Linked DNA regions of Nothobranchius furzeri. The protein of the gene in region 1 binds, or shares a complex with, the protein of each later gene. Links are inferred from orthologs where the notes say so. Each region holds a gene or a part of one and is shown on either strand. Other genes may lie near its edges.

Evidence for each region.
Region 2: the proteins of serpinc1 (region 1) and f9b are in contact, whole or in part, in a crystal structure (PDB 3KCG), measured with the Homo sapiens proteins. The link is inferred for Nothobranchius furzeri from reciprocal best matches to the Homo sapiens genes SERPINC1 and F9. Residues at the interface, in NP_000479.1 of Homo sapiens: Glu264, Asn265, Arg267, Glu269, Met283, Met284, Tyr285, Glu287, Met347, Val349, His351, Val420, Val421, Ile422, Ala423, Gly424, Arg425, Ser426, Leu427, Asn428, Pro429, Asn430, Arg431; in NP_000124.1 of Homo sapiens: Lys247, Val248, Asp249, Ala250, Phe251, Cys252, His267, Cys268, Glu270, Glu285, Tyr312, Arg358, Phe360, Lys362, Gly363, Arg364, Ser365, Leu367, Lys387, Phe388, Asp405, Ser406, Cys407, Gln408, Gly409, Asp410, Ile429, Ser430, Trp431, Gly432.
Region 3: the proteins of serpinc1 (region 1) and f2 are in contact, whole or in part, in a crystal structure (PDB 1TB6), measured with the Homo sapiens proteins. The link is inferred for Nothobranchius furzeri from reciprocal best matches to the Homo sapiens genes SERPINC1 and F2. Residues at the interface, in NP_000479.1 of Homo sapiens: Lys258, Glu264, Asn265, Arg267, Tyr285, Glu287, Gly288, Lys289, Glu345, Met347, His351, Ala419, Val420, Val421, Ile422, Ala423, Gly424, Arg425, Ser426, Leu427, Asn428, Pro429, Asn430, Arg431, Val432, Lys435; in NP_000497.1 of Homo sapiens: Leu389, Leu390, Cys391, His406, Cys407, Tyr410, Pro412, Trp413, Asp414, Lys415, Trp455, Arg456, Glu457, Asn458, Leu459, Asn506, Thr510, Trp511, Thr512, Ala513, Asn514, Val515, Gln519, Arg541, Ile542, Asp562, Ala563, Cys564, Glu565, Gly566.

What each region holds. Positions count from the first base shown.
Region 1 is NC_091748.1:78,330,969-78,334,076, reverse strand, and holds part of serpinc1 (antithrombin-III), read left to right. Parts: intron 1-683; 5' UTR 684-684; coding exon 685-1,056; intron 1,057-1,588; coding exon 1,589-1,804; intron 1,805-2,033; coding exon 2,034-2,171; intron 2,172-2,380; coding exon 2,381-2,599; intron 2,600-3,108. UniProt on the Homo sapiens protein: Most important serine protease inhibitor in plasma that regulates the blood coagulation cascade. AT-III inhibits thrombin, matriptase-3/TMPRSS7, as well as factors IXa, Xa and XIa. Its inhibitory activity is greatly enhanced in the presence of heparin.
Region 2 is NC_091750.1:56,279,860-56,284,066, forward strand, and holds the start of f9b (coagulation factor IXb), read right to left. Parts: upstream 2,907-4,207; 5' UTR 2,835-2,906; coding exon 2,747-2,834; intron 1-2,746. UniProt on the Homo sapiens protein: Factor IX is a vitamin K-dependent plasma protein that participates in the intrinsic pathway of blood coagulation by converting factor X to its active form in the presence of Ca(2+) ions, phospholipids, and factor VIIIa.
Region 3 is NC_091743.1:82,279,697-82,283,983, forward strand, and holds the start of f2 (prothrombin), read right to left. Parts: upstream 2,845-4,287; 5' UTR 2,768-2,844; coding exon 2,698-2,767; intron 2,449-2,697; coding exon 2,368-2,448; intron 1,987-2,367; coding exon 1,907-1,986; intron 1,797-1,906; coding exon 1,772-1,796; intron 1,434-1,771; coding exon 1,368-1,433; intron 1,300-1,367; coding exon 1,191-1,299; intron 1-1,190. Other genes in the region: dnajc27 (dnaJ homolog subfamily C member 27), read left to right, coding at 4,074-4,160. UniProt on the Homo sapiens protein: Thrombin, which cleaves bonds after Arg and Lys, converts fibrinogen to fibrin and activates factors V, VII, VIII, XIII, and, in complex with thrombomodulin, protein C. Functions in blood homeostasis, inflammation and wound healing.

The DNA.
Region 1 (3,108 bases):
TCTCGCCATGTATATTTCCGCTCGCGAGTCCCGTTCACACACGCGCTGCCATGTATATTTTCGCTCGCGAGTCCCGTTCACACGCGCGCTGTGGACCCAATGCGCGTGCACGGGTTGTGGCACGCTTTAAACGCCATATAAAACCGCTACTGCCTCAGCGCAGTGTCTTGGTAAGATTGACGTGGTTGTCGTGCCTCGCTGAGGTTTATTACTAACTCTAGACCACCGACCCATCATTGTGAGTTGTATTCTCCAGTGGGACAGCCCTCTTTGTCCACCAGGAGGTTGGGACATTGGTACACCTTCATTTATACCCTTCCACTGTGTTATCGGGTGACCACGCCAGGAAAGTTGACCATTGAGCAGAATTGATGGTTTATCTCTTGAGGTCCATGCAGCAGGGGTGAGGTTGTGCTCACTCCTCACTCCTGCCAAGTGGACCTCAAGGGATAATCTCACCTTCCTGATTAAGTAAAGAATAAATAAATAATAAAAACCGTGCTGGATGGCGGACCAGGGTTCCCTACCCCTGCTTTAGAACATCGGGAATAAGCAGCAGGAACATTTTCAGCTCATAAGATTAAAGGTTTTAGATCAAAGGGTGTTTTTAATCTAACTGACATTAAAATCTAGTTTGCTTTTTAACACACTTAAATCTGTCGTCTGATTGGTTCTCCACCCAGGATGAGGTCTACAGGTTCCTTACTGCTCCTGGCCTTTCTGCTGCTGCCGCTGCTGTCTGCGGCCGTGTTCCTGGACATCTGCACCGCCAAACCCAGGGGCCTCGCTCTAGAACCACGCTGCATCTACCGCAGCCCGGAACCGGAGAACGCCGAGGAGCTGACCCTCGATCCCGAAGAGCTGCCAGAGTTCACCAACCGCAGGGTGTGGGAGCTGTCGAGGGCCAACAGCCGCTTTGCCTTGTCTTTGTACAAGCGGCTGTCCCTGAGCAGAACCGGCGAGAGCAATGTCTTCATGTCTCCCATCAGCATCACCACCGCCTTTGCCATGACCAAACTGGGAGCCTGCAACCGGACGCTGGAGCAGATCATGAAGGTTTGCGTCCAGCGCGGGCTCAAACCCAGAGGGAAGAAGCTGGGCCTGAAATGGTCCAACAAAAGCAGGAAACATGAAACAGTAGCTGTAAAATGACGTGGGTTTGTTTGGAACACGGCGCTGACAGAGTAGCTAATCCCTGTCTCGTAACCAGAAGGTTGTGGAATTGAGTCTGTCACAGTCGTTGTGCCCTTGGGCAAGACTTAACCCCCCTTGCCTGCTAGTGGTGGTCGGAGGGACCGGTGGCGCCAGCATTCAGCAGCCTCGCCTCTTGTCAGTGCACCTCAGGGCAGCTGTGGCTGCACTGTAGCTCATCCCCACCAGCGTGTGAATGGGTGTGAATGGGTGAATGACTGATTGTATGGTGAAGAGCCTTGGGGGGTTGTATAACCCTAGAAGGAGCTGTACAAATACAGGCCATTTACCATGTTTCTTGGTTGTTTAAAGCCTGAAAACCCCAAACCTGATCAGCAGCGTCCCTCTCTGCTGTGCTTGAGTTCTGCCTCCTTCTGACATGCCTTTACTTTCGCAGGTGTTTGAATTCGACACCATCAAGGAGAAAACGTCGGATCAGGTCCATTTCTTCTTCGCCAAACTGAACTGTCGTCTGTACAGGAAGAAAGACAAAACCACGGAGCTTCGCATCGCTAACCGGCTGTTCGGAGACAAGTCGTTCTTCTTCAACGAGACGTACCAGAACATCAGCGAGACGGTGTACGGAGCCACGCTGCTGCCGCTCAACTTCAAGGTGTCAAACCCAGCATCACAGTTTCCTCTCAAACATTTCAGATTTCATGCAGCTGCTTCTCCGGTAATCTGATCAAACATGAAACAACAGAAACGGGTTTAAATGTTGGAGACGGCTGAATTCATCTGCAGTGTTTAACTAATGACCTCTGACCCCGCTTTAGATGGTCTTGTTGACAGAATTTCCACTCTTTACCAGTCGGACCAGTAACTCCGGTGTTCTGCGTTAGGTGGACCCAGAACAGGCTCGGATCACCATTAATGAGTGGGTCTCTAATAAGACGGAGAACCGAATCCAGGAGACGTTGCCTTCAGGGGCCTTGGACTCCACTACCATTCTAGTTCTGGTCAACACCATCTACTTCAAGGTATCGAAGCTGAAGTTCAGTGGAGAGTTTTAGTCCAGAACCACGAGGTTCCTTATGGAAAGATTCTGAAATCAAAAGCAGGACATTGTCTGCATATAAAGATGCTCTGACCCTACTGGTGCCCCTCCCCGGTCCTCGAGGACCGGGCTGGGGCACCTCTGGACGTGGACTGATGCCCACTGGCTGAGCTTTTATTTCCCGTGTCTCAGGGTCAGTGGAAGAACACGTTTCCCAAAGAGCAGGTTCTCCCCTCGGACTTCAGAGTCAACGCCAACCGTAGCTGCCAGGTCAACATGATGTACCAGGAGATGAAGTTCCAGTACAGGTACTTCCCCGACGACCAGGTGCAGCTCCTAGAGATGCCGTACCGAGGAGACGACATCACCATGGTGATCATCCTGCCGAGCAGAAACATCCAGCTCTCCCAGGTAAAGGTCCTGGTTCCCAACGAGGAAAAGGAGTGGTGGCAAAATAAACACAAATAAAAAAACATACATTTAAAATGTATTTATGATGAACGGGACTGGAATAAACGAATAAATGATTTTGTTTGGCGGTAAGATTTCAGGATTTCAGATTCTATTAACAAAAAATGTGAGTTTGGTTCGTGTTTGACACGCAAGCAGGTGACGAGATTTAAACGTTGTACATGGTTTATCCTTTTTGTGTGGTTTTATTATTTGGAGCTGTAAAACAAACATTTTAAAATCCATAAACAGTAAAAGTAAAAAAGAAAATATAAACAAATAAAGGAAAAACGTCTGATCCCAAAGGGAAGAGCCCACGCTCACTCGTTCCCGCCCCCTCACCACTCCACCAATCTCCCTAAAATAAACCAGGATCATTACACACATCCTGGGAATGCAGCAGCTCAGGAATGTCAGCTTGTCCAGTAATCAGAAGGTTGCAGGTTCGATCCCGACTCACACCAGAGAAT
Region 2 (4,207 bases), on another chromosome or scaffold:
GTTGTGGATCGGTGGGCAGAATACTTCAAAGACCTCCTCAATCCCACCGACACGTCTTCCAGTGAGGAAGCAGAGTCTGCGGACTTTGGGTTGGCCTTTCAAATCTCTGGTTCTGAGGTCACTGAGGTGGTTAAAAAGCTCCTCTGTGGCAAGGCTCCAGTGGTGGATGAGATTCGCCCAGAGTTCCTCAAGGCTCTGGATGTTGTGGGGCTGTGTTGGCTGACGCGGCTCTGCAATATCGCGTGGACATCGGGGGCAGTCCACTGGACTGGTAGACCGGGGTGGTGGTCCCCTTAGTTAAAAAGGGGGACCGCAGGGTGTGTTCCAACTACAGGGGGATCACACTCCTGAGCCTTCCTGGTAAGGTCTATTCAGGGGTTCTGGAGAGGAGGGTCCATCGGCTTGTTGAACCTCAGATTCAGGAAGAGCAATGTGGTTTTCGTCCTGGCCGTGGAACACTGGACCAGCTCTATACCCTTGGGGGATCCTGGAGGGTGCATGGGAATTTGCCCAACCAGTCTACATTAGTGGATTTAGAGAAGGCGTTTGACCGCGTCCTTCGGGGGGCCCTGTGGGGGGTACACAGGGAGTATGGGGTACCAGGCCCTCTGATATGGGCTGTTAGGTCCCTGTATGACTGGTGTCAGAGCTTGGTCCGCATTGCTGGCAGTAAGTCGGGCTCGTTCCCAGTGAGAGTTGGATTCCGTGTCACCAATTCTGTTCATAACCTTTATGGACAGGATTTCTAAGCACAGCCGAGTGTGAAACAGCTGGGATTAGAATCAGCTCCTTTAAACTGAGACCATGGTCTTGATTCGGAAAAGGATAGAATGCCTTCTCTGGGTCAGGGATGAGGTCCTGCCCCAAGTGGAGGAGTTCAAGTATCTCCGGGTCTTGTTCACGAGTGAGGGAAAACTGGAGCGTGAGATCGATAGGCGGATTGGTGCTGCATCTGCAGTGATGCAGTCGTTGTACTGGTCTGTCATGGTGAAGAGAGAGCTGAGTCAGAAGGCGGTCGATCTACGTTCCTACCCTCACCTATGGTCATGAGCTTTGGGTAGTGACCGAAAGAACGAGATCGCGGATACATGCGGCCGAAATGAGTTTTCTCTGAAGAGTGGCTGGGCTCTCCCTTAGAGATAGGGTGAGAAACTCTGTCATTCGGGAGGGGCTCGGAGTAGACCCGCTGCTCCTCCACATCGAGAGGAGCCATTTGAGGTGGCTCGGGCATCTGGTCAGGATGCCTCCTGGACGCGTCCCTGGTGAGGTTTCCGTGCACGTCCAACCGGGAGGAGTCCTAAAGGTAGACCCAGGACATGGTGGAGGGACTATATCTGTCACGTGGCCAGGGAATGCTTTGAGAGATTCCCTCCGAGGAGCTGACCCAAGTGGCTGGGGAGAGGGAAGTCTGGGCCTCTTGCCTTAGGCTACTGCCCCCGCGACCCGACTCTAAGCGGATGAAAATGGATGAATGGATGTTATGTATATTTTTGAGCAGAATTATTAGTGATTGAGCCAGATGTGCTGCAGAAGCTGGTGAAACTGACAATAATGTTGATAACATTGGCTGCATGGCGGCGCAGTGGTTAGCACTGTTGCCTCGCAGCACGAAGGTTGCAGGTTCGAAACTCGGCTCGGCTGCGGCCTTTCTTTGTGGAGTTCCGTGTTCTCCCCATGCATGTGTGGGTTTCCTCCGGGTACTCCGGTTTCTCCCACAGATCACAACATGCCCTATAGGTTATAAATTGTAAGTCGCTTTGGATAAAAGCGTCTCCTAAATGAATGAACATAAACATAAACATTTGCAGGAAAAACCTTGAATATGTTAAGATACAAGTTCTGTTAAAGATGAGGTTGACTGAGGAACATAAAACACTTGTTTTCTTTAAAAACGATTGGTCACTGAGTTTCATATGCCTGCAGAATGTGAAAACAGTCTTCTACCCCTTTTTCCTGCATTAGCTGTTGAAAGAAGATAAATGGGAAAACACTCGGGTCAGAAAAGGCCACACACATCTACATCACACTGTAAGTTAGCAATCATTGGTTCACCCATCTTGCCTTGCAACTACAGAAAGCTGTGATTCTTTAGCGTCCAGGAGACAGCAGAGCATGATTTGGCAAGCAGATGCTAACTGTTAGCATTAACAACTCCATAACAAAGCAGAACTCCTTCAGATTTGTGGAGATTACCAACAACCCAAAAAGAAGAGCAATCAAAGGCATCAGAAGAGTAGCAATGCGGTTAGCCAATCACAGACGATATGCTCACATACCATGAAATTTTAATGAGTAAATCTCCTCCCAATCTCACTCTACAAATGTCTGCTTCCTGAAACAGGAACACAAGAGTCCAAGCCCCACTCTGATTAGATAATCTCTGTTTCTCCAAACTGAGTTTGTTCATGAAGATATATTTGACTGACTACATCAGTAACACTTAGAAAGACTGCAGTTATTCCATTAAGGTTTTCCACTGATTTCATTTTATCAAATCTTATTTTAGCAAGTAAAATAAGCAGCAGAAAATATTCTCTTGCTTGAAATCAATTAAAGTCAAGTAAAATCACATCTGAGACAATCACACAAACTGAAGCTGGTGTGGATACAGATGTTTTAATGAAATTCCCAAGTTGAAGTTTTAATTTGTTTCAATATTCAACAACCAGGTGGTCACACTCGTCATCTCGAAGCTTTGACTCAACCTCTCAATCAATACCAGTTCTGATGTCTGTTCTGTATTTACCTGAGTTTTCTTCTTTAGTCTCATCACCAAGTCCATGTACTTCCAAATGAAAACTAGCAATAACAATCAGAAAACACACTCGTACCATGTTGCTGTTTTCACACCAGCCCAAAAACCAAATCAGTGTCGAGGAAATGAATCCAAAGTGCAACAAGTAGATGTTTACTCAGCTGTGTGGCCACAGTGTGTTTGTTCTTTTACATTTCTGTGTTCCTGCATGTGAAAACGACTGAATGAGAAAGAAAATTAGAAGAATGTGTGTGTGTGTGTGTGTGTGTGTGTGTGTGTGTGTGTGTGTAGATATTATCAGCTGTTTTATGTTTTTGTTGTCATATTGAGCAGCTTTTGCAACATGTGCAGACATAATTAGTTGCACAGAGGATTTTCATTGTCAAATAAAATATGCCCTCCTCATAAAACCAAAAAAAAAATAATTCTGACAAAGCAGAAGAGAATTTCACCAGCTGCATTTAATCCATCATCCGGGTAAAAACACGTTTACAGTTTTGGTCAATGAAAGTGTTGATGAAATAGCTGCACAGCTATTCCATCACATATCGATGTGGGAGAAGTTTGGGTAGCTCTGAACAAAATAAAGCTGAATTGTAACTGCACCACCAGGGGCCCTCAAAAGCACCAAGATAGCGTGAATGGAAATAAAAAAACTTTAAATTATACAAACACAATTATATCACATATGGAAAATGAATGATATATTATTTTCTATAATGTAATTATTTTTGTTCAGTTATTTCAAAGTGTTCCAAATTTTAGGAACAAAGTCCTGACTTGTTTACTATACATTCTGTGTTTTTCTTTCTTCAGATATAACTTTTAAATAGTTGAATTAATATACCACAATTAAATAACACTGAATTTAAAAATGCAAATTAATTATAGCATATGTGTTACTTTTCTAATAATGTAAGGTTAAACATCAATAGTCATTAAAGAGCCAGTATAAAATAAGCTAATAACTAAATATGCTAATGGAATTGGGTATGTTACACACAATGTGAAGCCTAGGAATTATGAATTTTCTGGTGTTGGCTGATTGATGTGGGGGTCCAAAAGAAAACCACTTAGGATCCCAAAAATGCTTGGACCGGCCCTGGCAGAACACGTTCAATCACTGAACATCTAGACTCAACTGGTCTGCATGCAAAGAAACAAGAGCTAGGTGAAAAATCTAGCACAGTACTAAACATGCATGCTTAACAGATCTTCAGAAACAACTAAACATTTGTCTGGAAGCAAAGACAAAATTATTTGATAATACAAGCTGACTCAATGTGTTCAGAGCTTTTGCTCCCAGATTAAAAGATGAAAAAAAAAACAAGTTTTTGTAAAGTGGTAAAACAATGAAATTTTAAGATCTGTGCTAATGCATCAAATGTCACCATTTGATCCGATAAATGTTTCTGTTTTCTGAGGCAAATGGGCTCAGACTGCAGGGGTGGA
Region 3 (4,287 bases), on another chromosome or scaffold:
CGCACCTAAAGGGCCATTCCCATTTGTACCGGGTCGGCCCGGGCCGGGTAGCCCCAGTCGGCCCCAGCCTGGCCCGGTTGATTCCACACATCCTTGCCTTAAGCCCATGTGGGCTGATTCTACCCACCAATCAGAGGCTTGCTCTAATGGAAGGTGTGAATTTGCTGTCAGCAGTGGGCGTGTTGGCCCTGGTCGGCCTGAAGCAGACCCTCTCAAGAAGAGGGCTGAGAATGAGCCTTGGTTGGCCCGGAAAAATACCAGGCCACCCAGATATGTAAACAACCTACGCTACCCGGCCCGGGCCGACCCGGTACAGATGGGAATGGCCCATAAGACTTTCTGGAGGAAGGAAGCCATTTCTGGAGCATTTTAAAGATGTCCAAGTAGCAAGCTCCATTAAGTAATTATTTTGATGTTCCTCCGCCTCCAAAAAAAAAAAAAAACGTCAGACTGCGTCAGAACCGCAAAAGACAAGAATATTCGCGGAGAAGTGGCTGCAGGAGGTCAGCTGGCTTCAAAAAAACGATGAACGCGCAGAGATGTGATGCAGATTATGCTGTGAAAATCCCACCCTGGCAGACAAAAACAGCGCCTTTTACATAGGCACTCAAAACTTCAATCATCCAGCGTTTGATAAACATGCTAACAGCAGAGAACATCAGAAAGTTGTTCGAGAAGTCAGAAATGAAGCTGAACGCAGTCCGGACCATGATGAGGATGATGAGAGTCTGTAGAAATAAAAACGGCATTTATGCCATTTAAAAAACTTTAGTGCTCTGAAATAGTAATTTTGTTAAGTGCTTTAAAATTTATTTTATTCGATTTTTGTTATCACAAAAGCAGCTGTTTACACATTGTGTTTTACATTCAGACAATTCAGTCATGTTATTTGAAAATTAGAAGGTTTAAGTTAAGCTGGCAATATATACCTGTTGTACTTATTGTTTTCAGACAAAATAAAAATATGTTGCATCGTTAACGCGTTACTCTGTTTTGTTCCTATTGTGAGTTGAGTTAAGAATTAAGTGCATTAAAAATGTGAGGACCAAGCAGCAGCCATAGGTTCTCCCCTGAGTACCAACCCAAAAATATGATGTGCACCCCTGGCCATATTGATATTTTCTTACATTCCGATTGGTTATACTGGTTAGTCTGGTTTAATTTGGTTGGTTTACTCTGACCCTGGTTACCTGCTGATAGGATGGGGGAAGTTGTGTTTCCAGTGTTGACACAGCTTTCCCGATTGTGTGATGTTGACTTGTCCTTTGTAGTTGAAGCCGTTTCCGGAGATGCAGTAGCCTGCAGACACCAGGCTGTTAGCATTAGCATCACATGACCAGGTAACGCTTTGACTGGTTAACGTTTACCTGTGATGCACTTTCTGATCAGGGGGATGCTGTTTTGTGTTCGTTTGGTCTGGGTTCCTTTACAGTCTGTGGAAAGAGCCGTGACATGTTTGTGTGCCGAAGTCTTCTGGACTTTGTTCTTGTTTGCTGAGCAGCTGAATAAACTCACCTTCTCTGATCTGAGTCTAGTAACCAAAGCTAACCAAAACTCTAAAGTATTTACATGGAAAGCTGCATCATTTATCTGACACAGAAATAAAAACTTTTGTTGATTTATTATTTTCAACTTGAGGACAATTTGAGAAGGTTTGGTTTTATCTCTTTGATCAGAAGATGAAACCAGGACTACAAATCTGTTTCCATAAAACTGAATAAAAATATCTGCAGGTGTCCATGAATAAAAGCAGTGTACCAGCAGAGCTTACCCAGGTATGTTGTCCAGAAATCCGCCTGAAAAAGAACAGTTTGATTCTGAGTTAATCTCAGATTTTAATCTGAGATTAATCTGATTTAATCTCAGATTAAAGTTAATTTGATGTCAAGTCTGTTGGAAGGCTCACCGTTTTATCGCCCTGCTCGAACACCTCTCTGGCTTCTTCGTTGTCGCAGATTTCTTCAACACACTCCCTCTCCAGGTTTCCTGAGGTGAACACATGAATATGTGGTTACCGTGGAAACAAACTGAGCAGTAATCTGGTATTAAATCAAGTTTTGTTTCAGTGACATGTGAAATAATCTACATTTTTTTGTTGAATGATTTATTGGTTTTACTTTTAAAAACAAGAAAGATTAAATTCATCGCTTTACATCTGGAGAACTTAAATTGTCCACTAGAAGGCAGAAGCCACACATGGTGTTTAATCCAGCAGGTGCCTGAGGAATGTACTAATCCTGTTTAAGAGGGATGGCTCTGACAGATATGGCTTCGATTCACGGGGTAAAACTGTTACAGATTGTTTAAAATATAATTGAATCGTAAACAGATGGTTAATGATGTAGAGGTCAGAGGTCAAACAGGTACCTGGTTTCATCTCCTCAAACAAATGATTGGCTCGTCTGCTTCGGACCAGCACCTGCAACGCTTGCTGGCTGTTGAGAAAAACTGGGAAGAATAAAGAAAAGATCAAAGCTGCTGGCAGGACGTTCAGTTTCTGTTAGTGTCATAATTCAGGTCAGATTAGGGATTAAATCATTTTAGGTTCTGCCCTCTCGTTCCTCTTCACCACTGATGTTAACAGCTCTGATTCAGACGGGTTAAACTGGATCATCTGCTCCAGACCTGACAAACAGAACTCATAAAACCCAGAACCAGATCCAGTTCTCCTGCGGTGACAGAATAACAGGTCGGTACCATCGTGAGCAGCGTAGCCGTGCAGCACCAACAGCAGCAGAACAGCAGCCCGTTTGGATGGTTCCACCATGATCCAGAACCGTGATTCAGTAGTGTTCACTCTGTCGCTCGGAGTCGCCGTCTGATCCCTGAAGGGGTGGGGGAGTATTTACCAAAGGGTCAAAGTGTGACTCAGTAGGTCAGTCCCATGTGTCAGCGGGGTTCCGGTTCTGTTCACAGGAAACCGGGAAACCTGGTCCAGAACCGGTCTAGAATCAGATTCTAGGATTTTGTACCTGTGATCTTTGGGGATAAATTCCTTAAGTGTGCAAAAAGTTTCAGTCTGTGTCTTTGACCTGGGATAGTCAGAATCTCATCTTCAGTCAAAACTGGAGCAGCAGCTCAGGTCAGAGGTCACGTTCTCATCCTGAGCAGGTAAACCACATCGTGTCAGAACAGAAGAAGGATTGAATAACAAGTTCTGCAGCTGGTTATTGATCTGTTCTCCGTGTGACTCCAATCAAATATTTACGGGCAGATACGAAGGTGAAAGTGCAGCATTCAGACAGAAGAGTCAAAATCACAAATTTAATACTAACTCAACTAGAAACCTTACATCTGCTGAGTGAACCTAATGGCTATGTTATTTCACTGCTGTTAGTTTTTGGTGTATCTGAGTTTGTTAAAATAAAAATCTGAAAAGAGAATCAGTGAGGGAGGAGTAGAAAGTGTCACATTCCCAGCAGCTACCCAGGGGAAACTGGATTCTCTTTTGTGGTGTAAACTCATAAAAATGTTATAAATATTAGGACAATTAGCATACAGCTGAGCATTATAATGAGTAAAATACATCGTATTCTTATATAATATAATATTCTTCTTATAGGCATAGTATGTTTGGATTGGGCTGCAAATATCCTCCAGCATAGTTGGTTAGTATTGGTAAATAAATAGAAGACATTTTGAAATTTATACTGACTGAGTTAAAGACTAAACCGCGGAGAAAATAATAAAAACCAGAATTTCTAGAAATCTGATGGATTTCATTCAACGTAAATGTAGTGGGTTTTGTTGTCCGGAGGAGGGCAGCACTACTGGAACGCTGCGTCATTCTACAGGAGTTACAGAAGAGAAGAAGAAAGAGAATGCTATGATGCTAGCTAGCTCTTCGGGTCTGATATGCGCTTCGACAACAGCTTAGCCCCAACAACAAGATCAGTATCAATGTTAAATAATGTGCTGTGGTTAATTAACCAGATGATCGTTCGGTTTCAGGGTGGTGCTCGTTATTAGCCAGATAGCTAACGGAACGTTAGTCTTGTTAGCCCCGCTAACAACAGCACCTGCTGTCGCAGCTGCCCGCTCTGCTGCAAAAAACCCTGCGTTAATCAGTCTAAATGGAAACAAATGCACCGAAAAGACGTGACAACAAGAAGTCTCTGCGGGTTAAAGTCATCAGCCTCGGAAATGCTGAAGTGGGGAAGGTACGAGTTGTTCTGTTTATTTTAGCCCTAATTTCAAATCAAGTTTGGTGCATTTGAGTTGTGGCACTTTGGGCTGCTGAAAAATGTGTTGTTGTACTTTGTATTTTCACCTTGTAATAATTCGAAA